7 linked regions of the Macaca fascicularis genome follow. The protein of the gene in region 1 purifies or fractionates together with the protein of each later gene. This does not show direct contact. Links are inferred from orthologs where the notes say so. Each region holds a gene or a part of one and is shown in the gene's direction. Other genes may lie near its edges. The genes, in order: KRR1, GNL2, LARP7, DDX24, KRI1, DDX18 and NOC4L.

Region 1 (3,500 bases):
CGACTCTTGAATAATATAAAAAGCGGGGAAAAGGAAATGCAAGAAGTACTGGAAGGCTTATGAATATGTGCATAGGATGTTCATAAAGTGTCCAAAAGACAGTTAAAATGTGATGTGTCAATTTTTTCCTTTCTGTAGATGAATCAGAACTCCTTACTGTTCCCGATGGCTGGAAGGAACCAGCTTTTTCCAAAGAGGACAATCCCAGAGGACTTTTGGAGGAGAGCAGTTTCTCAACTTTGTTCCCAAAATACAGAGAAGCTTACTTGAAAGAGTGTTGGCCATTGGTGCAGAAAGCCTTGAATGAACATGTATGTGTATCTTATAATAATACATTTATTTGAGACTTTGCTCTTGCTTATGCCTTTAAGTGTATGTATGCAGATGCATTTTTTTTTTAATGGTGCTAACATAGCAATGGTGCTGGTTACTTTGGTTCCTTTGGTATTTTAAACTATTTAGGTACATTTTCTTCTTACCTAATGTTCATTTGTTTTAAATTTTATGAGTAATAAATTACTTTGAAAAATTTGCATACCTTTAATATTTTAGGAGCTTCACAACTGTCTGAAATTCACCTGTGAAGTCTCAATTTCAGAATGCCTGCTCCAGGCCATGAGAGTTGTCATGTGTCTGTCCCAGTCTGAGCTGAGTCATGTTTCTAAATGGATTACTTTTCATCTTAAATGGAAGATGTGGATGTATCCAACTTTTCCTTGTTTATGCTGATGCTGTGCCCCTAGATAACTGCATTTTTTTTTTTTCCCCAAACTGGGTATTGAAACCCATTAGTGTATTGAGAAGTCAATTTAATGGCTATAAGGAGCCTTTAGAAAACGGCATATCCATGGTAAAAGTATGTTTTTTTCATATTGGCTTAGTTGTGTGTGTGTGTGTGTGTGTGTGTACATTTATTAGGTTGTGATATAAAATGTGTTTCTCACTGTGGGACTGCTCTGGAGTTGGTTGTGCCATTGTGGGTGAAGGTGGCTCAGCAAGCTGCAGGTTGTGTTTTATAGCTGCGTCTGGGATTGAGCTCTTTTTTTTTTTTGTAAACTCATAGCGACCCAACCATATATTGAATTGTTCAACACTTAACTATGTTGAAATATTCTTGAGATTATGCTCACAAGTGAGAAAATAGCATTTTAATTTGCTTTGTTGAAATCTGTTTTTTCCTGTTGAAAGTTAATGCTTAAGTTTTCTAATCGTTGCTTTTTTCTGAAACTATGTTAATTTGCTTTTACTTAGTATTTAGTCCCCTAATTAGCTAGGAAAAAAGTTTGAAAGGGAAAGTCAATTCTTACCCAATGGAGCAGATGGTAGACTGGAGCTGGGTCCAGAATAGGGAAGCTGTACAGCTTTACATTTTTATCTTAGTCAGATTTTAAGTATGACCCCATTTGTTTCATTTATAATTTTAAAATTAGAGGCAATCTATATTCCAGTGGGTACAAAGTATTCTAAAACCAAGTGTAAATGGTTTCAATTGCTCCAGTTTCTTATAGTCTGTAAAGTGTGAAAGTAATTGAGTATTCATTATTTATACTTAACTACCTAGCTTCTTCAGGGAAGTAATTGATAGGAATTGAGAGGTGACAGAAATTAATAGGTTGGTTAGGATAGGCTTTATATTTATCTAAAAATAAACTCATTTTTAGACAACTGCTTGTTTGCTCTTTCCTTTTGTAGCATGTTAATGCAACCCTGGACCTGATCGAAGGCAGCATGACTGTCTGTACTACAAAGAAGACTTTTGATCCATATATCATCATTAGGGCAAGAGATCTGATAAAACTGTTAGCAAGGAGTGTTTCATTTGAACAGGTAAATCTAAAATTACAGAGACTTTGCTTTGTTTGCATCAGTGTTAACCTATAACATCCCATCTTTTCCGCCTTCCACCATCAAGTTTTCGTATTTGTGCTTAGATAACAATAGCATGGGCTTGGAAAATAAATGTAATTGTAAAAAATGTTGATAATGTCTGTTTTTTTTTTTTTTTTTTTTTTTTGCAAAAGGCAGTACGAATTCTTCAGGATGATGTTGCATGTGACATCATTAAAATAGGTTCTTTAGTAAGGAATAAAGAGAGATTTGTAAAACGAAGACAACGGCTTATTGGTCCCAAAGGATCTACATTGAAGGTATTTTTTTATTAGTGGAAAACTTGAGTCTCTCCCTTAATAATTTTTCAGAGTAATGAATTTTAACCTGATCTCTTGATACAGGCATTGGAACTCTTAACTAATTGTTACATTATGGTTCAGGGAAACACAGTTTCAGCCATTGGACCTTTTAGTGGCTTAAAAGAGGTGAGAACTATGTATTATCTTCAATTCATTTTCAGCAGAGAACAAATAATTTGGTTATAATATAGTTTATTGGATAATGCTTTATAATTTTATTTTTTTAGAATGTGCTTTGATTTCCCATTAGTAAATACTTTTTATGTCATATAATTCAAGGGAATCATCATTTCTGGACCCTAACATGTTTTGGCCAACCTTGGCAACTAAGGAGACATGCATTTCTGAATTAGAAGGTCCGCACACTATTACTCCTCCGCTATAACATTTAAATGAGCATTTAAGATCTTCAGTCTGTAGCACAGACGAAAAACGTGGAATAGTCACATATGCCCAAATGATGCGAAAATTGAGCAAAACTCCAGTTATTTGCAGTAGTGTATACAGCCAGTAGAGGTCACACTCTGAAAACTTTTCTTCAAGATATGTTTTCTTTTGTTTGAATTTTAGTATAATGTTTAATAACTTTTCATGAACATTTTCTTTAACTTTTTAAATTAAATGTGAGAAAATCTGTGGAGCAAATGCTATTTCTTTTAACTCCTTTTGGTACTATTACTGTCTGGATCTGGCTTGTGAGGTTGTGCTTCCTTTCCAGGGCCTTTAATAGTAATCCTATTGGCCCTTTTTGTCATAAATTGTCTGCTCTTTTCTCATGGAGCAATAATTAAGTATATTGAATACTTTAGTTTTATAAAGTCTTTAAAATATTTAATTCTTACAATAGAGTCTTGAGGTATATGATTTTATCTTTATATTACAAATGAGAAAGCTGGAACAGGAAAGTGACCTTCCTGTATGCAATGGCAGTCCTTGTATTCCAGCCCTCTTCTTCCTAAATCACGTTGCTATACAGTGTTGTATTAGTTCTCTGTGCTACATTTTAGCAGTAATTGAGAAACTGTATTGTATTCAAGGGAGGTTTGACTGCCTCTATGAAAGATCTAATTATTTAATTAAATTATTTAATTTGATACCCATTACCTGATTAGATATTTTGCAGTATTTATCCTCTCCTCCATAGCTCATTAAAATCCTTGTGACTAATTCATTTTTCTTTGCAAATTTCAGGTTAGAAAAGTAGTCCTAGATACTATGAAGAATATTCATCCAATTTATAACATTAAAGTGAGTGATAATTCTATGTGACTACCAGTGATTATCATACTTCTTTTAGCTACAGAATCCTTT
Region 2 (3,500 bases), on another chromosome or scaffold:
TAGTCATCTACTTTGCAGTTTGTTTTAGAATTTGGAATCCCAGCGTAAATCACCCTCTACTTGAACAATTCATCTAAAACAGCCTTCGAATAGTTACCCAAAAAACTCAAGTATGTGTTTTTTTTTTTTTAAAGTAAACAGTAAACAGATTTTTTAAAACGTCACCGTTGTTATTCATCTAGCAGAAATCATTACGTGCTCTGTTGCAAGAGGTTAAATGGCTTTTGGGCAATCTGTTTCAAATGTAGAAGTACTTTGTGTTTACTGGAATTGGTATTTCATGATCATTTAAAACCAAAGTAAGAAGTCCTTTTGATGGAAAATATATTCTGTAAATCAAACTTTGCTGTTGCCATTCTTCTGTTGTCAACCAATATCTGTTCTTTCCTCAATTTAGGAACAGTCGTGGTAAAATAATTAAACCCCTGCAATATCAGTCAACGGTGGCTTCTGGCACAGTAGCAAGAGTAGAGCCAAATATTAAATGGTTTGGTGAGTATTATCCCCTGCTACTTTGCTCTACAAAATGTATGCTGAATGGAAACGGCTAGGATGTTTAAATATCTAAACGATAGGAGTTTTTGGTGAGTGGAACTGTCAAGGATTATCTGAGAAAGGGATAAGAAAAAGTACTGGGAAAAGTAGTGGTGGTAGATTTAATAAATAACTTCTTTTTGAAGAGCGCTCACCATTAGTAATTGTAATTGAACCCTCTTAAGCAGATAAGACCGTCCTTAATGACTAGCATTCACAGACCTTAGAATGCTCATCTTGATCTTTTATGCTTGCCTGGAGAGATACTGTTTGAGAGGTGGCCTTGTAGGTGTTTGTGCATATATCCTTCAGGGTAAGTGCATTAGCCCAGAGTTCCTCTGAAACACTTCTTAATGGAGTTTTTATTTGAACTTGGGTGACAATTAAAGGGTCTCACTGTTGAACCTTCCAACAGTGAATAGAGTATCTTCAGTCACAGGGTGATCACGGCTTCTTCCTTGGGAAACTCCCTGTTCCATTTCAGTCTGGGCTTTTAACTTTGCCCTTAGCCACTGGTAATGTATGGGCACTTTAGATGATCAGACCCCAGTGTTTGCTTGGTGTTTGACCTCTGTCCTTGGGGGCAGATGGCAGCTACCTTTGAGTCTCTTATACTTTTGGTAGGATACTTCCTAGGAGCTGCAACACAGAAAGGTGTCAAAGAAAACTCTGCAGAGAAGCATTTAGCATGGCTGCCGGGTACTGTGACTCCAGATTAGACTGCCTGGGTTTGAATTCTAGTTCTGTCATTTATGTGCAAGTTATTAAGTCTGTCTGTTCATCAGTTTTCTCATCCCTAACAGAGAATAAGATGAAACCTATCTCACAGGACTGTCGTGGTAATCAAATGAGTAAATACAAGCAAGGCACAGTGGCTCATGCCTGTAATCCCAGCATTTTGGGAGGCCAAGGCTGGTGATTCACTTGAGGTCAGGAGTTCGAGACCAGCCTGGCCAACACGGTGAAACCCCCATCTCTACTGAATATACAAAAATTAGCCAGGCATTGTGGTGGGCACCTGTAATCCCAGCTACTTGGGAGGCTGAGGCAGGAGAATCCCTTGAGCCTGGGAGGCAGAGGTTGCAGTGAGCTGAGATTGTGCCGCTGCACTCCAGCCTGGGTGACAGAGTAAGACTCTGTCTCAAAAAAAAAAAAAGTAAATACATATAAAGTGCTTAGAATAGTACCTAGCAAATAGTGAGTATAATATAAGCATTCCTTGCTACCATCATTACCACCTTGCTGTTTTGCATTCATGCTGCAGCATGCTGTTTAATTGAATGCTTTTCAGGATCTCCCTCACAAGGTGTTTTCCAGGTGGAACAAGCAGGGCTCTGTCTTGTTCCCTTGCATGGATTCATTGGTTAATGAATCATTAACCAATTGATTAACCAATTGAGGTCCCTTTGGATCCTCATAACCCTAAAAGTGGTAACTATGACTCAGGTTTCAGTGTTTCAAGATTCTCTGTCTATACTGACTGATCAGCTGTGATTGGCTCCAAGTTTCTCTGCCAGATCTAGCAGGAAGTAGGACATTTGTCAGATCTCAGTTCCATTCCACGCTATTTATTTCTCAGTTTCATTTAGTCAGGAAACGGCTTGGAAAACTATTGAAACCTTTTGTGGGTCTGGGTTGGTGGAATAGTTCATAGTGTGCAAGTGCAGGAGAGGCAGTTTTTTGGGTTTTTTTCCTCTTTTAAGTTTGGAAATAGCTCCAAGGGATGGATGGATCAGGTACTTGGGTGAGTGAGGGTAATTTAAAATCTTGCCTTTCACCGTGTCAGTGGAAGATGAATGTGCAAATATGTATTAAGTGGCAACATTCTTTATTTGTAAAACAGGAAACACACGTGTGATTAAGCAGTCATCATTACAAAAATTTCAAGAGGAAATGGATACAGTTATGAAGGATCCATACAAAGTTGTCATGAAGCAAAGCAAGTTACCAATGTCTCTTCTCCATGATCGAATCCGGCCTCATGTAAGATGTAGGATATCCCTGGCGATGGAATTTCCTGGGCAGACTCCTTGCAGCTCCCTCTCTAACATATTTGTCTTTTGTTTTTCTTAGAAAATAGCAATTTCAGTGTAGCAATGATGAACTTCCTAAGACCTCTGTTTTCATCTTTTCACGTTTAGTATGAAGTATGGTAGTGTAGTGGATCAAAGCACAGGTTTTGGAGTTGAGACCTGAATTTTAATCCTTGCTCTATCCATTCCTGTACCCTTAGTTGGGTTTCTCTATGAACTTGAACTTCTTTGCTTTGAAAGTATAAATAGGCTGGGCGCAGTGGCTCACACCTGTAAATTGGGAGGCCCAGGCGGGCAGATCACTTGAGGTGAGGAGTTTGAGACCAGCCTGACCAATAAGAGGAAACCCCATCTCTACTAAAAATACAAAATTAGCCAGGCATGGTGGTGCATGCCTGTAATCTCAGCTACTCGGGAGGCTGAGGCAGGAGAATTGCTTGAACCTGGGAGGCGGAGATTGCAGTGAACCAAGATCGTGCCATTGCACTCCAGCCTGGGCAACAGGAGCGAAACTGTCTAAAAAGAAAAAGAAAGTATAGATAACCCACCTCCTTGGGTTATTGGCTACAGATGAAACGTCTGTAAAGCACTTGGTCCGTAGTAAGCACATAGCACACCACCTAATAAGAGCTAAATTGATAACAGATATTAGTAATATTATTTATTATTATTTATTTTGGTAGGCAAACTTGTTTTAAGTGGTAATTCCATCAAACATTGGGACAGCGTAGAATTAGGATTGAGTTGGTAGAACTTTGGTGTTGGGTACGTTCAGCTTTTGTAAGATCCTTGAGATTTCTTCTCAGCTGAAGGAAGGGGTGCTGGTCTCATTGGCTGTCAGTTGCTGAAGTTTGAAGTACGGTAAGGATTCAATCTGGGTTGAATGGAATGAGTTTCACACAGAACAAAGAAAGAGTCTGATGTTTGTCTGCT
Region 3 (3,500 bases), on another chromosome or scaffold:
TTACCCTGCCTGTGACCCATTTAAGTCAATCCTTTTCTTTTTAAAAAGTGTGAAATGCTCTGTAACATACCACATATTTTAAGTATTTTCTTATACTGACATTCATCATCACTTAGTATATTGTTTTGGTTTCACATAGACTCATCAGTCACAGGTTTTAACTTGAATATCATTGAGGTGGTTGTTTATCTGTAAGCACTCCTTATCTGAAATGCTGTCCTACAATCCTATAGCTGTCACTAAGAAACAAATTTTGATTCTCTTTCCAATATTGGTGAAGGATTTGGCCAAATCCAAATTGCTATTACCAACTTGCATTTCAGGAGACAGCTGAAAATTGAGGGATGTAAATACCGCTCTGGTTAATCAGATTGCAAAACATTTAATAAAAAAAATTACTCAGTTATTTGTAATCACTCATTAAATAACTTTTATTATTTAAATGGTAACTATATCAATTACAAATTCATCATTTATGATCATCAAAATCATAAAATCAATCCCTGCATTAATCCAGTTAGTAGTTACTTACATTTTGCTGAAACAAAAACTGAGCTGTGATGGTGGTTACAGCTGTCTGTGACTTGCCCATGTGATTACTAGGCTAATTTGTCCTTCTATGGGTTTTAAATTCTGAGGGTTTTAAATCAAGAGATTAGCCTGACATTATAATGGATATTTAGTAAATATCTTTTGAGTTGTAGTAATTGAATATGCTCAGAAGTCAGTTATAAAACTCATTACTAGTACTGAATGCATTCAAATTTCAACAATACTGAATTTTTTACTTGCTTTATATCTAAATTTGGTACTAATTAATTAGATAAAGAAGTGGGAAGGACTAGCAAGTATATGTCTCTGCAGTTCTTTTTTTTTTTTTTAATTTGGCAAACAGTTACCAAATGCCTGTTTTGTGCTAGTTTGCTGAGTGTTGGGATGAGTTAAGATCTGGTCCCTGGCTTCTAGAAATTCATAGATTTTATTATATATTTTTTATTGTTAACTGATAAACTTGTCTTATTCTATGATGAAATAATACTCCCAGGTATTGCTCAATTCTTTCCATAAATCAAACATCTAAAAATTCAACATTTGAACATAATCTAAATTAGTTGTGTCCTGAAAATGTAGGTTAAAACTAAAGTGAGGCAAGATAAGAAAGATTTTTTTCCCCCATTTAGGAATCTGCAGTTATTTCTTTAGCTTTGTGAATGGAAGTTGATGAATTAGGAATTAGTGTAACATTCCTGCATAAATGCATTGTATACTCTGTAAAACCTGCTGTGAGGGAAAAAAAAAAAGTTGATTAAGAATGCAGGAATCTGGTTAATTTGCCCTCACAGCAGGCAGTGTAGGTAAAACTTTTCCTTGCTGGGTGACCACAACTTGTTTAGAAGAGGTTGCTTAGGTATTTTTTTCAGAAAGTAAGAGCTCTTGAACAATTTGGAAACCTAGTATCTTAGGTTCAGTAAAACTGTTTTTCATGAGTTGTTATTAAAAGTTGAGTGATTTGTACACATATTTTAAAGTCATAGTGATTTTCTGCAGGTGAGTAAAAACAAACCTCCCTTAATCCTTTTTTTTTTTTTTTTAATTTTATTCCTTATACTAACTACTCCCAGATGTGAACCCTTCCTGATTTGGGGATTGGGGGACACTATTTCTGCTTTCTGCTCTACAAATCTGTTGTCCTTATAGAATATTCCCATTCTAGTTCAGATTTTACGGATGTGATTTCAAGAAAATAAAGGAAAATAAATTGTTAGAGTTGATATTATTCAAATCTATTTTTAAGAACATGCTTTACAAGAAATGTTTGATATAGGATATTTGCTCCTCATTAGTCTGCAAAATGCTTTATTTACATAATATATTCTGGCATAACCATTGGAATAGTTTTAGAATTATTGTGAAACATTTTAAATTTTATTTGTCTTTCTACTTAATTCTGATGCAGGATACTTTGGCAGCAATCTCAGAAGTTCTTTATGTTGATTTGCTTGAAGGGGATACAGAATGCCATGCTAGATTTAAAACTCCTGGGGATGCTCAAGCAGTAATAAATGCATATACAGAAATTAGCAAGAAACACTGCTGGAAACTCGAGATCCTTTCTGGTAAAACTTCATAGAAGTGTTTTTTTTTTTTGTAACCATCCTTATTGTGGGTAACATTTTCTGAGTTTGGCTAATGAAACTAGTTTTGTTTTTTGTTTGTTTGTTTTTTGTTGTTGTTTTTTTTTTTTTGGTCTCACTCTGTCGCTCAGGCTGGAGTGCAGTGGTGTGATCTCAACTCAACGCAACCTCCACCTCCCAGGTTCAAGTGATTCTCCTGCCTCAGCCTCCTGAGTACTTGGGATTACAGGCGTGTGTTACCACGCCTGGCTAATTTTTATATTTTTATTTTATTTTTTGAGACAGAGTTTCGCTCTTGTTGCCCAGGCTGGAGTGCAATGGTATAATCTCAGCTCAGTGCAACCTCTGCCTCCTGGCTTCAAGTGATTCTCCTGCCTCAGCCTCCCAGGTTAGCTGGGATTACAGGCATGTGCCACCTTGCCCAGCTAATTTTATGTTTTTGGTAGAGACGGGGTTTCTCCATGTTGGTCAGCCTGGTCTTGTCTTGAACTCCCGACCTCAGGTGGTCTGCTTGCCTTGGCCCCCTGAAGTGCTGGGATTACAGGCATGAGCCACTGCACCAGGCAATTTTTAGTAGAGATGGGGTTTTGCTATGTTGGCCAGGCTGTTGTCGAACTCCTGACCTCTGGTGATCCTGCCTCCTTGTCCTCCCAGAGTGCTGGGATTAGAGGTTTCAGCCACCGCACCTAACGAAACTAATAATTTTATTTCTATTCTGTAATATGTATAAAGTGGCATTAAATATAATCAAAAACTGTCCTAGTTCTGTTACTGAGAATGTAATGCCTTGAATATGGTTTTTCAGATGTGTTCTTCTTTTCATCCATCAGAGTTTTTGTTTGTTTTTAAGGTGATCACGAACAAAGGTATTGGCAGAAGATTTTGGTTGATCGACAGGCAAAACTTAATCAGCCTCGGGAAAAGAAAAGAGGCACTGAAAAGGTAATTAATTCATTTTTGTTTTTTTAGACTAAACTTTCTTTGAACATTTAATGCCAAAGTCAGTATAGGTAGTCATAAAATGATCTTAGCTTTGCTATTACCTAACAAAGATTTACTGAGTATATACTATGTTTTAGGTTGGGAGGAAAAAGTCATTTCTCTAGATTTCAAAATGTGTGAAATTATTTTTCTCACAAGGATACATAATTATAATTTAGAGTTTTTCTTTTTAACTAGTGATACTTTAACAATCTTGATTTCTGGCTGCTATGTCTTGTAGTTTGGTGGTAAATGATTATAGAAAGATTATCGTAATGGTAAAACCACAACATATTTAGAATGTAGTTTCTAAAGATAGGAAGCTCCACAGATAAGATGGAGAGACTTTATGCATAGTGTTTCCTATAGCAACGATAAGCTTTA
Region 4 (4,236 bases), on another chromosome or scaffold:
CACAGGCAGATTATACTTAGTGTAATTCTTAAAAGACCTAAGATTTTTAGAATGGTAAACACGCACTGGCTTCAATTTAAAGTCACTAGCTGCATTAGCCTCTAACAAAAGAGTGAGCTTGGCCTTTGAAGCCAGACATTGACCTCTCTAGCTATGAAAGTCCTTGATGGCATCTTCTTCCAATAGAAGGCTGTTCTGTCTACACTGAATACCTGCTGTTCAGTGGCCACCTTCATCAGTGATCTTACCTAGATCTTGGGGATAACTTGCTGCAGCTTCTCCATCAGCACTTGCTGCCTCATCTTACACTTTTATGTTTCTGGAGACAGCGTCTTTCCTTAAACCTCATGAAATAATCTCTTCTAGCTTCAAACTTCTATAGCTTCCTCACCTCTCTCAGGCATCACAGAACAGAAGAGAATCAGGGCCTTGCTTTGGATTCGGTTTTGGTTTTAGGGGATGTTGTAGCCGGTTTTATTTTCTATCCAAACTACTAAAATTTTCTCCAAATCGGCAATAAACAGTTCCACTTTCTTATCATTCATGTGTTCGTTAGCGTAAAATGTTTAATTTCCTTCAGTAGCTTTCCTTTGCATTCACAAACTGGCTAACTTTTTTGGTGAAACTTTCAGCCTAGCTTTCAGCCTATCTTGCCTTTTGACATGCCTTCCTCACTAAGCTTAACCATTTCTAGCTTTTGAGTTAAAGTGAGAGATGTGCGACTCTTTCTTTCACTTAAACAGTTAGAGGCCCATTGTAGGGTTATTAATTGACCTAATTTCAATACTGTTGTGTCTCAGGGAATAGAGTCCCAAGGAAAGGGAGAGAGAAGGGAGAACGGCCTGTCAGTGGATTAGTCTGAACACACACAACATTTATCAATTAAGTTTGTCGTCTTATATGGGCACAGTTCATGGCGGCCCCAAACAATTACAATACAAGGAACACTCATCACAGGTCACCCTTGTAGCAGAATACATCTCCCTACGATGGACGCGTACGTCCTCTTTCGGGAACGCCCCACTCCGTCTACGAAGTAGCCGCACTTTCGCCACTTTACTTAATAAACTTGCTTTTGCTTTGCTATGCGGACTCGCCCTGAATTATTTCTTGCGCAAGATCCAAGAACCCTCTGTTGGGGTCTGGATCGGGACCCCTTTCTGGTAACAAAACTACACCAAAAATAAAAGAAAACACGTTACTGTGAGGTACCTGACAAAGTCTCTAGTCGGAGGGAGCACACAGAACCTCACCTTCTGTGGCCTTTCCCTAAGCGGGGAGGAGCAGAGCTGGAAGAGGAGGGGCCAGCGCCCCAAGCCAGCTCTCCCATCAGCACAGCTTTGGTCCGCGAGGCAGCCAATCAGATAGCTGAGTTTGCCATAGGGGTGGGACTTCCTCCGCAGCGCGCACGAGTACGTGTGTGGAGGTCCCGCCCCGGAACTGCGGTTGCTTCTGCAGCTGAGGTACAGCGGCGGTTTCTGAGGCTCCTGACCGGCGACCAACGGAGCTGCCGTGGCGTCTTCACACGGTGAGTACCAAAACGAGCGGGGCTGGAGCGGACCCTGGAGAGGGGCTGAGGCCAGGAACCCGGGTTCCTATTCGCAGGTCTCTCTGGGCCGGTGGGTTCCCGGGTCCAGAGAGGGCGCCCGCAGGCCCAAGCCGTCCAACCGAGCTGCGTGCCATGGTCCCCGCGCCTTGGGCTCCTTGTCTGGGCATCAGGGCCTGACGGCCTCGGCTTCTCGGTTTCGTGCGCGCGTTCGTGCCTGAGACAAAGCGAGAGCGCCGCGCGAGACCGGCGTCACGAGGAAACAGAGGCCCTTCTACTCTGCCTGACGCTCCCCGTGTCCTCGCCCGGTTCCTCGCGTGGCACCCCCCGCCCTCTCCTCGCTGAACCCCGCGTGTTTTTTTTGCCATGGCGCAGCGGGTCCGGCGGGCACCGTGTGCGAACGTGCTCTTCTCGCCGGGCGCCATGCTCAGCGGTTTTTGACGTGCGTCACTTTTTCGTAGTGGCGTATAACGATTCTGTGGGACAAATGTCCTCGTTATTCCCATTATGCAGACGGGGAAATAGAGACTCAGAGATGGATACGTCCACCGCAGAGCCACAGCTGACGAGTGGTGGATCCGGATTTGAACCAAGATTTACCTTGGTCTTTTTCACGGAACGTGTTGTCTTCCTTCGGCTTTCTGAAAAGGAAAAACCTGGATCGAGTTCCACCCAAACGAGTTGGGCCTAAATGGCCTTTAAGCCACTTAAAATATGATGAAAAAGCTGGATGGGTTTTAAGACGCTTGGCAAAGGAAGGGATGGTAGAGCAGGCATTTGCTCTCTCAGGCAAGGCTTGAGAAGGAAGCAAGCGCAATACGCTTTTAATAAAGCTCACCCCTCCTGCCCCCACAAGAAAAACCCCTCAGATTCTTACTCTGCCTTCAGAACGGCTTATGTGTGGCAGGCTTCATCCTCCGTGCTTTACATAATTTCCTTTATTTACACAAAATATACAACTTAGATATTGTTAGGTACTCTTCCCCCTTTTTATAGATGAGAGCACTGAAGTTCAGAGAGGAGTGGGTGGCACTATCCAAGGTCACACACGCAGTAAGTGTTGAATTTGGAATTCAAACCAGGTCTAGCTCATACGTCTTTGTTCCATCACATGTGTACCCTGTGTTTCGGGCAAAGCTGTCTGTTCTGTGGTATTTCCTTCTTTGTTCTTCTCTAGGTAGGAGCAACTGTGTGATAGCCGTCTTTGTATCCTCAGTTCTTTGTAGGGCCTAGTTGCTTAGAAAATATTTGTTGCATCAGAACCCTCTGCTTCTCAGACACCAACCTAATAGAACATGTATCTCCTTTTCAGCAACCATGAAGTTGAAGGACACAAAATCAAGGCCAAAGGCATCAAACTATGGCAAATTTCAGACAAAGGGAATCAAAGTTGTGGGAAAATGGAAGGAAGTGAAGATTGACCCAAATATGTTTGCAGATGGACAGATGGATGATTTGGTATGCTTTGAGGAATTGACAGATTACCAGTTGGTCTCTCCTGCCAAGAATCCCTCGAGTCTCTTCTCAAAGGAGGCACCCAAGAGAAAGGCACAAGCTGTTTCAGAAGAAGAGGAGGAGGGAGAGTCTAGCTCACCAAAGAAAAAGATGAAGTTGAAGAAAAGTAAAAATGTAGCAACTGAAGGAACTAGTACCCAGAAAGAGGTTGAAGTCAAAGATTCTGAGCTGGAGGCCCAGGGAGATGGCATGGTTTGTGATGATCCGGAGGCTGGAGAGAAGACATCAGAAAACCTGGTCCAAACTGCTCCAAAAAAGAAGAAAAATAAAGGGAAAAAAGGTTTGGAGCCTTCTCAGAGCACTGCTGTTAAGGTGCCCAAAAAAGTGAAGACATGGATTCCTGAAGTTCATGATCAGAAGGCAGATGTGTCAGCTTGGAAGGACCTGTTTGTTCCCAGGCCGGTTCTCCGAGCACTCAGCTTTCTAGGCTTCTCTGCACCCACACCGATCCAAGCCCTGACCTTGGCACCTGCCATCCGTGACAGACTGGACATCCTTGGGGCTGCTGAGACAGGTAAGGGCAACTCCGGCCAAGGCAGGATTGCTTCTGGATTGAGCCCATAGCTACTAATAAGCCAGATAATTGGGAGAGAGAAGAATGTTGAGAACATAACCACAAAAGCAACGCTGAATAAAGGTGTTTAGAAGTCAGCCCCCTCTGGTTTGAAATATGCTTTTCCTGAATGGTACCCTAGCCATCACTTTTATCTCTCTCAGCTCTGTAGACCCCATTATCAACCAAATGGAGATAACAGTTTCTACCTCTTGCATTGCTGTGAGAGTTAAATGCTACAGTAAGCTAAAGCTTACACTGTACATTGGAAGTGGTCTGCAAATGGTAGTTTCTCCTGTTCTTGAGCCTTTTCTGAATGACTCATAGGGGTAAGGTAAGGCTAAGATCAGCCCTCTGGAGAGGTCGATCTTCATAAGTATAAGGAAGAACTGTCTAATTCTCAGGAGTTGTGCAAAGGTGAAAAGGGTTGCTGCTTTGGGAGTTGATGAATTTCTTGTCATTGGAAGGATTTGAGTATGATGGATAGTCATTGGGTGGATTTTGTAAACAGATTCAGCTATGACGTGACTGTTAGGACTAGGCTGTGTGAGGTTCCTGCAAGACTTTTGGAAGCAACGACAGGTTGGCTTTGCTGGATAACTAGACTACTGACTTGGGGGAG
Region 5 (3,500 bases), on another chromosome or scaffold:
GAAGGACTACGAGAGGAAGGTTATCTTGGAGAAGGCAGGGTATGGAGAAGGCCTACATCCCCCCCCGCTGGTTCCCAGTCCTGTCAGGTCTATGGGGGTCTTAGGGGCAGGGAGGAAAAAAGCTGGCAACTTGGGCTGGGCGTGGTGGTTCATGTCCATAATCCCAGCACTCTGGTAGGCTGAGGCAATAGGATCGCTTGAGGACAGAAGTTTGAGATCAGCCTGGGCAACATATCCCGCCTCTACAAAAAAATTAAAAATTAGCTGGGCGTGATGATGTGTACCTGGAGTCCCAGCTACTCAGGAGGCTGAGGCGGGAGGATTGAGCCCAGGAGATGGAGGCTGCAGTGAGCTATGATCAGGCCACTACACTCCAGCCTGGGCAACAGAATAAGACCCTGTCTCAAAAAGAAAAAAGGCCGGGCATGGTGGCTTATGCCTGTAATACCAGCACCTTGGGAGGCTGAGGTGGGCAGATCACCTGAGGTCAGGAGTTTGAGACCAGCCTGGCCAACATGGCAAAAGCCTGTCTCTACTAAAAATATAAAAATTAGCCAGATGTGCCGGGCGCGGTGGCTCAAGCCTGTAATCCCAGCACTTTGGGAGGCCGAGACGGGTGGATCACGAGTTCAGGAGATCGAGACTATCCTGGCTAACACGGTGAAACCCCGTCTCTACTAAAATACAAAAAAAAATTAGCCGGGCAAGGTGGCGGGCGCCTGTACTCCCAGCTACTCGGGAGGCTGAGGCAGGAGAATGGCGTGAACTCGGGAGGCGGGGCTTGCAGTGAGCTGAGATCCGGCCACTGCACTCCAGCCTGGGCAACAGAGCTAGACTCCGTCTCAAAAAAAAAAAAAAAAAAAATTAGCCAGATGTGGTGGCGGGCGCCTGTAGTCCCAGCTACTTGGGGAGGCTGAGGCAGGAGAATCGCTTGAATCTGGGAGGTGGAGGTTGCAGTGAACCGAGATCATGCCACTGTACTCCAGCCTGAGGGATAGAGCAAGACTCTGGCTCCAAAAAAGAAATGCTGTCACCCATGATTGGAAAAGAAAAGATAAAAAAAAAAAGAAAAAAAAAAGGCTGGAAACTCACCAGAATCGCAGGTACCCCTGAGAGCAGGGGCCTCACTGATTCCATAGCCCTCCGATGACCCCCGCCAGCCGGTGCTTGGAAGAGCCGCTCCACATGGGCACGGGGACAGGTGGGCCCTGGAAGATACATTCTGAAGACCCCACTTTTCCTTTACAGCAAATATGTCGACGAGGAGAACTCAGACGGGGAGACTTCCAATCATAGACTCCAGGTGGGTGGGGTGGAGGCTGGTGTGGGGGGCTGAGGGGCCCAGGGCTGGCCTGAGACCTCTATGGCCCTCTCTGCAGGAGACATCATCGCAAAGTTATGTGGAGGAACAGAAACAGCTCAAGGAAAGGTGAGGCTGGGTGGGTGGGAATGGCCCAATGGAGGAAAGTTGAGGCTCGGGTTGGATAGGCATGGGTTCAAATTGAGCTCTGTCACTTTCTATGTACCTCAGTTTCCTCATCAGTTAAACGGGGTTAATAACATCACAGCACTGCTCTGAGCTTGTTGAAAGGAGAGCTCAGGGCTTAGTACATGGGATTAATTTTGGGGCAGCCGGCCGGGTGAGGTGGCTCTCGCCTGTAATCCCAGGGCTTTGGGAGGCAGAGGAGGGAGGATCACTTTAGCCCAGGAGTTCAAGACCAGCCTGGGCAACATAGTGAGACCACGGCTCTACAAAATAAATGTTGGGGCAGCAGACAGGGGCCAGCCTGCCTGTCCTGAGGCTTGTTTTCTCTCGTGGGCAGCTTCCGGGCATTTGTGGAGGACAGTGAAGACGAGGACAGCGCTGGGGAGGGCGGCTCCAGTTTGCTGCAGAAACGTGCCAAAACCAGGCAGGAGAAGGTGTGTACCGGGGCCTCACTGGACTGCTGGGGACAGGGCGGCGGGTGGTTGGGCATCTGCAGATGCTCAGTGCTAGCTTTCCCCCAGGCCCAGGAGGAGGCCGACTACATCGAGTGGCTGAAGGGGCAGAAAGAGATTGGGAACCCAGAGTCGCTGAAGGAACTGGTGAGTTCTCACGCATGGCCGCTGATGGAGTAGACCGTCCGTTCTGCCTCCATCCAACCCATGTACAGAGATAACCCTCTGAAGATGGGATGTGCACATCGCTGGGCCTCAGCTCCTACATCTCTTTCAATGGGGATAGGGTGGGCGCCGTGATTCACACGTGTAATCCCAGTGCTTTGGGAAGTCAAAGCAGAAGGATTGCTTGAGGCCAGGAGTTTGAGATCAGCCTAGGCAACAACAGCAAAACCACTCTACAAAAAAATGAAAAAATTAGCCAGGCATGGTGGCACGCGCCTGTAGTCTCAGACACTTGGGAGGCTAAGGTGGGAGGATCTTGTGAGCCCGGGAGGTGGAGTCTGCAGTGAGCTATGATCACACCACTGTACTCTCACCTGGACAGCAGAGCAAGACCCTGTCTTGAAATAAAAAAAAATAAAAAACCAAAATGGGGCTAATGTCACCTACTCCAGAGGCTGGCTGTGAGGGACCATGCCTGCCCTCCTTCCCTGTCCCTCATTGACCAGAGTCCTGTCTCCTGTCACCCCCAGACCCATCTCAAGGAATACTGGAACGACCCTGAGTTGGATGAAGGGGAGCGGTTTCTGCGGGATTACATCCTCAACAAACGCTACGAGGAGGAGGAAGATGAGGAGGAAGATGAGGAGGCAAAGGAGGAGGAAGAGGAGGGGTGAGCCACTGCCTCTCCCCAGGGCCTAGATTTTGGGTGCGCTTCCTGACGTATTCCCAGGCGGCACTGGCCAGGAGGCAGAGGGCACCGTGTGTGTATTTTTTTTCACAGAGGGTGGCAGAGTTAGTCTGCAAGGCAGAGCCACAGAGTGTAGGCTCTGGAGCCAGGTGGCACTGCCACAAATCCTGGTTCTGCTTTGAGACTTCCATGCCTCAGTTTCCCCATCTGTAAAATGAGGACAATAGCAGCGTGCACCTTGTAGGGTTCTTGCGAGGATTAAATGAGTTCGTACGCTTCGCACCCAGACGTGCAGGAAAGGGGGGCTCGACCTCGCTTGGCTGGCCCCCTGGCGTCATCACATCTTGTTCCTCAGGGTCCCCGGCCCCCCAGTCCAGCTGGCTGTGGATGACTCCTCAGACGAGGGGGAGCTGTTTCTGAAGAAACAGGAGGACTTCGAACAGAAGTACAATTTCCGTTTCGAGGAGCCGGACTCGACATCGGTGTGTGGCTGGGGCTGGGGAGGACTCGGCCCCCGGGGTCCAGGCCCAGGGAACTCCACACCATCGCTGAGGCCCTTCTGGGCTTTTCTGCTTGTCCCTAGGTCAAGACCTACCCACGCAGCATCGCGTCCTCCGTGCGCCGTAAGGATGAGCGCAGGAAGGAGAAGAGGGAGGAGACTCGGGAGCGAAAGAAGAGGGTGAGTGTGGGGGCGGCCAGCTGGGGAGGA
Region 6 (3,500 bases), on another chromosome or scaffold:
CAGCCTAATATTCTGTGGCTGTATCTGACTCTTCTGTGTCTTGTTGGAGTGAGATTAACAGTGTTTTTTTAAATTGACTTGACACTCAGTTTTTATTAATGTTCAATGTTTTTACTTTTTGTATCAGATTTCTTAAGCATTTCATTTATCTCTGGACTCTCAATTATTTTCCTTGTCTTGGTATTTTTATTTTATATAAATTCCTCAGTTATACCCCTCGTTTTGTTACAGTATGGACTCTGGACTATAACTTACACAGCCATTAACAATGGAGAAACTTGAAAGATAAAGGATCTTTTTGTTGGTATTATCAGATATGAATAATTAAGGTTTAGCCTTTTCTTACTGTGGGAAGCTTTTCTAGGCAAAATAGATTTAGGCAACTGTAGCGATACTAACTTTTTTAAAAAAAAATAAATTTGCTGATGATACATTGTCTTCTGTTTAGGAGCTTTTGAGGATACTTCGTTTGCTTCTCTATGTAATCTTGTCAATGAAAACACTCTGAAGGCAATAAAAGAAATGGGTTTTACAAACATGACTGAAATTCAGCATAAAAGTATCAGACCACTTCTGGAAGGCAGGTATGATTAACACTGAAGCTTAGATACTGGCATCTGCTTTTAGAACTAGTAGATTATAAAGAACATACCAGTATATTCTGTTGATTTTCTGCTATATGTTGGGTCATGTATCCAGCATACATGAAAGACTAAGTTAATTACTGATGTTTGAAGGAAAGTGTTGGAAAGATGTTCACTTCTGTTGTAGCACAGTTCTGACTTATGATTTCGGTATATAACCCAGGTGATCAGTTTCAGCGAAGTAGACATCATCTTGTTCATGTTCTAGCCTTAGTGCCTAAAGTGTGTGTGTGTGTAGTACATCGTAAATGAGTAGGCTCAATGTCTTTCTCCTTTCCCTTTTTAATATTTAGGGATCTTCTAGCAGCTGCAAAAACAGGCAGTGGTAAAACCTTGGCTTTTCTCATCCCTGCAGTTGAACTCATTGTCAAGTTAAAGTTCATGCCCAGGAATGGTAAGCTTTTGTCTGCTTGTTTCTGCCATTATTTCACTAGAGGTTTATTGTAGCTGTTACGGACTCAATGGTGACAACCACGTTTAGACTTTTACCATATGTATTATTTTTAGGAACGGGAGTCCTTATTCTCTCACCTACCAGAGAACTAGCCATGCAAACTTTTGGTGTTCTTAAGGAGCTAATGACTCACCACGTGCATACCTATGGCTTGATAATGGGTGGCAGTAACAGATCTGCTGAAGCACAGAAACTCGCTAATGGGATCAACATCATTGTGGCCACACCAGGCCGTCTGTTGGACCATATGCAGGTAAGAGATGTAGTGCTTGTCTCATTGTCTTATATGAAACATAGACTGACAACTAATAGTTGTTCTTTGTCCTTTGTTTTGTTAGAATACCCCAGGGTTTATGTATAAAAACCTTCAGTGTCTGGTTATTGATGAAGCTGATCGTATCTTGGATGTTGGATTTGAAGAAGAATTAAAGCAAATTATTAAACTTTTGCCAAGTAAGTAGGTAGCATCTGCATTTGGTTTGCAAAGTATCTGTTGGAAGTAGATAAGAGTTGTTCCTATAGAAAAACTCTGCTAATGCCAGAACTTTACCATAGCCAAGTGAGGTAGTTGTGCCAGTTAACCTGAAAGTTAGTTTGGAATACAAGCATCAAATTGATTAATAACTTGATATAGTAGTTTTGCTGTTCTAGAAGTTATAATGCATGTTAAACAGTCTTCACATAGGTCCTGTCCTGCGCCTCTTGCCCATTCTTACCTCATGTAACATCCCCCAAGTAGCCATAGGTTTGTTGCCTTACTTGTACATACCTTGGTTACAGTACTTGCAACATTATGAACTGGTTATAACTAAGACCACGGTTTCCTTCATTGTATAATTTATTTTTTAAAGTTTTATCAAAGTATAATTGACATAATTATATGTGCATTTATAATGTACAATTTTATGTTCCACTGTGACACCATCACTGCAATCAAGAAAATGAACATGTCTATCCCACTCAAAGGTTTCCTCCTGCCCCTTTTCAGTTTCTCCCTCGCACCCCTCCTTACACACATACCTCGTCCCTATAGAGGCATATGTCTCCTTTTCTCTTAAGTAAACCTAGGAGTATCATAGTTGGTATATATTTAGTATATGTTTAACTTTTTAAAAAACTGCCAGATGTTTTCCAAAGCGGCTGTACCATTTAACATTCCTATGAGCAGTGCAAGAAAGCTCCAGTTCCTCCTGTTAAGTCTTGATCATCAGGTAATGTTAGCCCCAAGTTTGTTCTCTTTTAAAGTTGTGGTATTCTTGTCCTTTGTGCATTTCTATATAAATTTTAGAATTGGTTTGTCAGTTTCTCCCCCTTCCCTCCAAAAAAGTCTTGGATCTTGATTGAGATTTTATTGAATAGAGATTATTGGAGGAAAACAATATTAACTCATAATAAGGTATATCTCCATGTATTAGATATTTTGTTTCTCTATAATATTTGGGGGGAGGTTAGGATACAGGTTTAGTCACATCTTTTGTCAGATTTATCCCCAAGTATTTCATTAAAATTTCAAATTCCAATTGCTCGTTGCTTTAATATATGTACACATACACACACACACACATATATATACACACACAGTTGAATTTTATATTGATCTTATATCTAGCAAGACAGTTAATCCTGTACTGAATGAATATTCAGTATGACTTTCCAGATGACTGTAGCCTTTTGGATTTTCTATATAGGCAATCATGTACAGATAAAGACAGTTTCACCTCTTTGTTTATTTATTTATTTATTTTCTTATCTGATTGCCCTGGCCAGAACCTCCAGTATGGTACTGAATAGAAGTGATGAGAGCAGACATCCTTGTCTTGGTTCTGATCTTAGGGGAAAGCATTCAGTCTTTTACCGTTAACTACATATGAATTTAGCTGTAGGTTTTATATAGATGCCTTTTATCAGATTAAGGAAGATCCCTTCTGTTCCTAGTTTGCTGAGGATTTTTAATCAGAAATAGATGATCAGATTTTTTTTTCTGTCTGCTGAAGTAATCATGTTTTTTCTTTAGTTAACATAGTAAATTGTATTGGTTGATTTTTCAAATGTTGAACCACCCTGCATTTGTAGAATAAACCTGCCTAGTCATGATCCATTATCCTTTTTATATGTTGCTGAATTCACTTTACTAAAATTCTATTTCGAATTTTGCGTATGTGCTCACAAATTGTATTGGTGCATAGTTTTCTTTCCTTGTTAATGTCATGTCAGGTTTTTGAATAGTGTAATGACTGACTTCAAAGAATGAGTTGACATATAAATATAATAATAAATTATAATTATATAATAAGTATAATAAATTATAATAAATCTCTTTATTAGAGAGTTTGTGAATAATTGATGTTTCTTTCTTAAATGTTCAATATAATTCACCAGTGGAATCCATTTGGGCCTGGAAT
Region 7 (4,229 bases), about 57 Mb from region 1:
CTTGACAGAAGTTCAACAGCAAAAGTAGACACCACTCACTGAGCAAACTCACCTGTAGTCTCCCATCAACCCACAGTGGCACCCACCCTTCCGCAGCCAGGAGGCCCTGTGACCTGGTGCTCGCCTGCCCCAGCCACGCCGGCGTCCCTGCCTCGAGGCCTCTGCCTGGCATCCCCAACCCTCAACTTTGACCTGGCTTCAAGTCTTCGCATCCCAGCTCAAAGAAAACCTTCTCCACCCCGCCCTACCTAAGGTGCCCAAGCACTCTGCCAAACTTCTCCTTTTCTTCACCTGTCTCACCAGAGATCTCTACCGAAAACCACCCGTGCTAAGCAAAAACACCAAGGGCCAGGGGCTTGCGGAATGGCCTCTGACTTGCTCCTGAGGCGGTGAGCGCACAGCAGGAGACCCCCCCCCCCGCACGTTCACGCAAGCACATCCTGCAGGAGAACTGGCGCGGCGCGACGGGATGGCAGGGGCAAGCCTAGCAGAAAAAACGGGAGCTCCGCACATGCAGGATCCAGACAAACTGCAGGCCTGGCAGTGAGGCGCGTCTGTGACCCGGGAGCATTCGCTCAACGATGCCTTCCGGGGCGACCGCCACACTTAAGAATCTGCGCAGCCTCCCCTCCCACGCCGACCACCCTTCCGACAGCCGCCGCTCACCTTCGGCGCCTTCCTCCTCCCGAACCCCCCCAGCACCAGGCCGGGGACCAGGGGTCCGGCCGCCTCCTCCAGGGCCCGTCCGTCTGGGGCCGCCTCGGCGCTGGCGCTGCGCTCCCCCGGCGCATCCTCGCTGCTCCCTGAGCTGGGCTCCCCTGGCGCATCCTCGCTGCTCCCTGAGCTGGGCTCCCCCGGCGCATCCTCGCTGCTTTCTGCGAGGCAGACACCCACCCGGCAGCGCGTCAGCACCGAGTCGCCGGCGCCCCGGAGGGAGCCCGCTCGCCCCACGACTCACCTGCGCCCGCGTCCTCGCCGTCCGCCTTCCGTCGCTTTCCCTGCCGCGCCTCCGGGCTGCCCGACTCCGCGCCGTTCACCCGCCGCCGCCGCCGGGGCCGCCGTCGCTTCCTGGTCGCCGGCTCGGTCGGTGCAGCCGCCTCGGTCGGCGCGGGCTCCCGCTGCTGCTGCCGTTCGCGGGCCCGGCTCTGCAGCCGCTCGAGCAGCGCGCGGGCCCGGCCGTGGGCCCCGGCCTCCGCGCCCTCCCGCCCCGCCGCAGCTGCCGCCTCGGGGCCCTGGTACCGCGCGACGTAGAATAGCGACATGGCCAGCGGCACGCCTGGGGCTCGGGCTCGACGCGCGGCGATGACGTCGGCGGCACGCCTGGGACTCGGGCTCGGCGCGAAAGACGGGGTTTGGGTGCGGCGCGTAGAGATGACGTCAGACTCTACGCGCAGTGGTGACGTCAAGGGAGCGCCGGCGGCTGGGTACCGCGTTTTGCCGTGTTGGCGGCGGCATGGAGCGGGAGCCGGGCGCCGCGGGCGTTCGCCGGGCGCTGGGCCGCAGGCTGGAGGCGGTACTGGCGAGTCGGAGTGAGGCCAACGCCGTGTTCGACATCCTGGCCGTGCTGCAGGTGGGCCCGGCGGCGTCGCAGGGCCGGGGTCGCGGCCCGGGAGCGGGACTTGAACGGGGGGCTGCGGCGGCAGGGCCCTAGGAGGTTCAGGGACGGCGTTGGAGGGTCAGGGAGGGAGGCGTGTGGATCACGGGTCGGGGGTGACGGGGCTGGCGTCCCGAGGGGGAAGAGAGCAGGGGTGGGGGGCGGCCGAGGCAGGGGCGAAGGTGACAGTTCCCGGCTGGGCACCCTGCCGCCGCCTCTCCTGCAGTCTGAGGACCAGGAGGAGATCCAGGAAGCAGTCCGCACGTGCAGCCGTCTTTTTGGGGCCTTGCTGGAGCGGGGAGAGCTGTTTGTGGGCCAGCTGCCTTCTGAGGAGATGGTCATGACAGGTGAGCCCTGGAGGGCCCCGGGGCTGCTCTTCTCTTTCCGTGGGTCGGAGGGAGGTTTGTCACCGTGGGATGAGCGCCCCCAAACCTGTCACAGACCGTGCAGGCTGGTGGGAGGACACACCAAGCCCCCGCGGAGGATGGATGCAGGGGTGACATGGATACTATATAGCTGCGTTTAGATGAACGCTGGACAAGGTACGACTTTTTGTCTTTGTGCTTTGCACCCATTTTGTAATTTTATGTTGATTGATCTTGACATGGTCACTTAAACTCGGAACTTCCTTTATGTCCCCATTCTGGGGACGTGGGGTCTTGGAGTAAAGTGAGGAGATGTGGATCCTGCCCCTGGCAGCTTGCCTGAGGCAGTCCTGGGGTAGGAGCTGCTCTTCCTGTTTGCAGGGCTCAGGGAACCCGCAGGTCCCAGCACAGGTCTGGGGGCCATAGTGACCTGTTTCCACCTGTGGAGGCTGAGTAGAAGACAGGGGGAGGGTGGAGCCAGGCCTGAGACTTTGGGCGGGGCCCAAAGTGGCATATGTGGGCTGAGCCCCCTAACCTGTCTGCAGGGTGCCGGGGAGCCGCACGGAAGTACAAGGTGTGGAGGAGACACCGCTATCACTGACCGCCTTAACCTGTCTGCAGGGTCCCGGGGAGCCGCACGGAAGTACAAAGTATGGATGAGACATCGCTATCACAGCTGCGGCAACCGCTTGGGAGAGCTTCTGGGCCACCCCTCCTTTCAGGTCAAGGTGGGTCATTGGGCCGCACTCATCTGTGTCCATCCCCTGCACTGCCACTCCCAGGCTATCCACAAATCAGAGGTCTGGGGCTCCCACAATTGTCCAGGGAAAGCTGCTTCCTTTCTTTGGCTCATGGGATCGTCACCTTGTGGGCGTTCAGCCCCGTTTACAAACATGGCTATCGAGTCCTGTACTGAATATTGAAGAGGCACAACCCGTGTTCACCTCCAGAGGCATCGACGGGCATCTCTGTTGCGTAGAGCACACACATCAAGCCTCGTGCCAGTCCACAGCTGTGTTTGCTCAGCCCACACTGTGGTCTGCAGCCATGGGAATGCATTGTGAGCTTTTTTAAAATCTGTATTGAGGAATAAGTGATGCACAGTTTACCATTTAAAATTGACAAGTTAGCGTTTGTTACTGTGTTCACAGTTGTACAGTGGTTACCACTATCCCAGAACATCTTCATCGCCCCAAAAAGAAATCCTGTACCAGTTAACATCACTGCCATATCCCACCCTGTTCCACACCAACCCCCAGACACCCACTCATTTAGTTTCTGGGTCAGTGGGTTTGCTTTCTCTAGACGCTCATCACAAGGGGGAGCATGTGGTATGTGCCTTCCACTTGTCGGTGTGTTCAGAGGCTGGTTCCTCCCTGCGGCTGAGCGGCGTCCCGTCGTGCAGCACGCACCCGTCAGCTGCGCGTGCGTTGCTGGGTATTTGGGTCGTTTCCACCTGTGGCTGTTAAGAACAGTGGACTGTGAACGTTTGTGTACAAACTTTTGTGTGAACATGTTTGTTTTGCTTGAATGTGCCTCATCAGTGGAATTACAGGGCCACACGGCAGTTCTGTTTCTAACGTCTGAGGAACTGCAAGACTGTTTTCCACAGTAGCTGCGCCATCTTACACTCCCGCTGGCAGAGTATGAGTGTTCCATACTCCACGTCTTTGCCGACGCATCTGTCTCTAGTTATAGTCGAGTTGCAGACTTCTAAAAGCTGGGGAGATACTACATGAAAATAACCAGCATCCTGCTTTTCACAAAGAACTAATCAGTTCTGTCAACACTGGGGTCTAAGTTTGTTCATGGCTGTGATTGGCTGGAGGGAGAGTCAGGGACAGCTCTGAGACAGGCGCCTGCTCCTGTCATCCCACACGTGGCTCTTTTGCTTTGTGGTGTCATCTGCCTGGGACCTGAAAGTACTGAGTTTGCCACCCTGAGATGAGAGCTTCTGAGCCTGAATCTGAGTTGGGCAGCATGCTGGCGTCACACCCCTGTTTTCACAGCTGTGCCCAAGGGTTATGGTGGCATTCCTGTGATACAAGTGATGAGAGAGCAGTCAGGTGGCCATAAAGCAGACCTGGGCTGTGTGCCTTTCCCTGGCCAGACTCTCTCGTGAGCACTGGATTTCTTTAACTCAAGATCTTGTCATGCCCATGTCGTGGGTGGGACACGGAAGCCCGGAGTGCCATCTGGTGGCGTGTGGAACAAGAGAAGGCCAGGACGCCCTTTTCTCAGCTCTGGGCCTGGTTGTGAGGGGCTCCCTG

What was found.
Region 2: the proteins of KRR1 (region 1) and GNL2 purify together in Homo sapiens (affinity purification with mass spectrometry; 3 studies listed by BioGRID and IntAct, with this or other methods). This does not show direct contact. The link is inferred for Macaca fascicularis from reciprocal best matches to the Homo sapiens genes KRR1 and GNL2.
Region 3: the proteins of KRR1 (region 1) and LARP7 purify together in Homo sapiens (affinity purification with mass spectrometry; 4 studies listed by BioGRID and IntAct, with this or other methods). This does not show direct contact. The link is inferred for Macaca fascicularis from reciprocal best matches to the Homo sapiens genes KRR1 and LARP7.
Region 4: the proteins of KRR1 (region 1) and DDX24 purify together in Homo sapiens (affinity purification with mass spectrometry; 3 studies listed by BioGRID and IntAct, with this or other methods). This does not show direct contact. The link is inferred for Macaca fascicularis from reciprocal best matches to the Homo sapiens genes KRR1 and DDX24.
Region 5: the proteins of KRR1 (region 1) and KRI1 purify together in Homo sapiens (affinity purification with mass spectrometry; 3 studies listed by BioGRID and IntAct, with this or other methods). This does not show direct contact. The link is inferred for Macaca fascicularis from reciprocal best matches to the Homo sapiens genes KRR1 and KRI1.
Region 6: the proteins of KRR1 (region 1) and DDX18 purify together in Homo sapiens (affinity purification with mass spectrometry; 3 studies listed by BioGRID and IntAct, with this or other methods). This does not show direct contact. The link is inferred for Macaca fascicularis from reciprocal best matches to the Homo sapiens genes KRR1 and DDX18.
Region 7: the proteins of KRR1 (region 1) and NOC4L purify together in Homo sapiens (co-immunoprecipitation; 3 studies listed by BioGRID and IntAct, with this or other methods). This does not show direct contact. The link is inferred for Macaca fascicularis from reciprocal best matches to the Homo sapiens genes KRR1 and NOC4L.

The regions. Positions count from the first base shown.
Region 1 is NC_088385.1:82,341,901-82,345,400, reverse strand, and holds part of KRR1 (KRR1 small subunit processome component homolog), read left to right. Parts: intron 1-138; coding exon 139-311; intron 312-1,692; coding exon 1,693-1,827; intron 1,828-2,021; coding exon 2,022-2,147; intron 2,148-2,231; coding exon 2,232-2,315; intron 2,316-3,380; coding exon 3,381-3,437; intron 3,438-3,500. UniProt on the Homo sapiens protein: Part of the small subunit (SSU) processome, first precursor of the small eukaryotic ribosomal subunit.
Region 2 is NC_088375.1:197,333,389-197,336,888, forward strand, and holds part of GNL2 (nucleolar GTP-binding protein 2), read left to right. Parts: intron 1-397; coding exon 398-492; intron 493-2,377; coding exon 2,378-2,517; intron 2,518-3,500. UniProt on the Homo sapiens protein: GTPase that associates with pre-60S ribosomal subunits in the nucleolus and is required for their nuclear export and maturation.
Region 3 is NC_088379.1:118,157,164-118,160,663, forward strand, and holds part of LARP7 (la-related protein 7), read left to right. Parts: intron 1-1,957; coding exon 1,958-2,117; intron 2,118-2,985; coding exon 2,986-3,077; intron 3,078-3,500. UniProt on the Homo sapiens protein: RNA-binding protein that specifically binds distinct small nuclear RNA (snRNAs) and regulates their processing and function.
Region 4 is NC_088381.1:162,094,328-162,098,563, reverse strand, and holds the start of DDX24 (ATP-dependent RNA helicase DDX24), read left to right. Parts: upstream 1-1,436; 5' UTR 1,437-1,528; intron 1,529-2,858; 5' UTR 2,859-2,863; coding exon 2,864-3,575; intron 3,576-4,236. UniProt on the Homo sapiens protein: ATP-dependent RNA helicase that plays a role in various aspects of RNA metabolism including pre-mRNA splicing and is thereby involved in different biological processes such as cell cycle regulation or innate immunity.
Region 5 is NC_088393.1:11,113,419-11,116,918, reverse strand, and holds part of KRI1 (protein KRI1 homolog), read left to right. Parts: coding exon 1-39; intron 40-1,092; exon of another isoform or gene 1,093-1,248; coding exon 1,249-1,303; exon of another isoform or gene 1,304-1,373; intron 1,374-1,379; coding exon 1,380-1,429; intron 1,430-1,823; coding exon 1,824-1,920; intron 1,921-2,007; coding exon 2,008-2,085; intron 2,086-2,633; coding exon 2,634-2,773; intron 2,774-3,146; coding exon 3,147-3,273; intron 3,274-3,374; coding exon 3,375-3,470; intron 3,471-3,500.
Region 6 is NC_088386.1:13,953,883-13,957,382, reverse strand, and holds part of DDX18 (ATP-dependent RNA helicase DDX18), read left to right. Parts: intron 1-448; coding exon 449-584; intron 585-937; coding exon 938-1,038; intron 1,039-1,151; coding exon 1,152-1,351; intron 1,352-1,436; coding exon 1,437-1,551; intron 1,552-3,500. UniProt on the Homo sapiens protein: ATP-dependent RNA helicase that plays a role in the regulation of R-loop homeostasis in both endogenous R-loop-prone regions and at sites of DNA damage.
Region 7 is NC_088385.1:139,266,718-139,270,946, forward strand, and holds the start of NOC4L (nucleolar complex protein 4 homolog), read left to right. Parts: upstream 1-1,429; 5' UTR 1,430-1,453; coding exon 1,454-1,570; intron 1,571-1,820; coding exon 1,821-1,941; intron 1,942-2,580; coding exon 2,581-2,687; intron 2,688-4,229. Other genes in the region: ATP-dependent RNA helicase DDX51, read right to left, coding at 667-875, 959-1,262.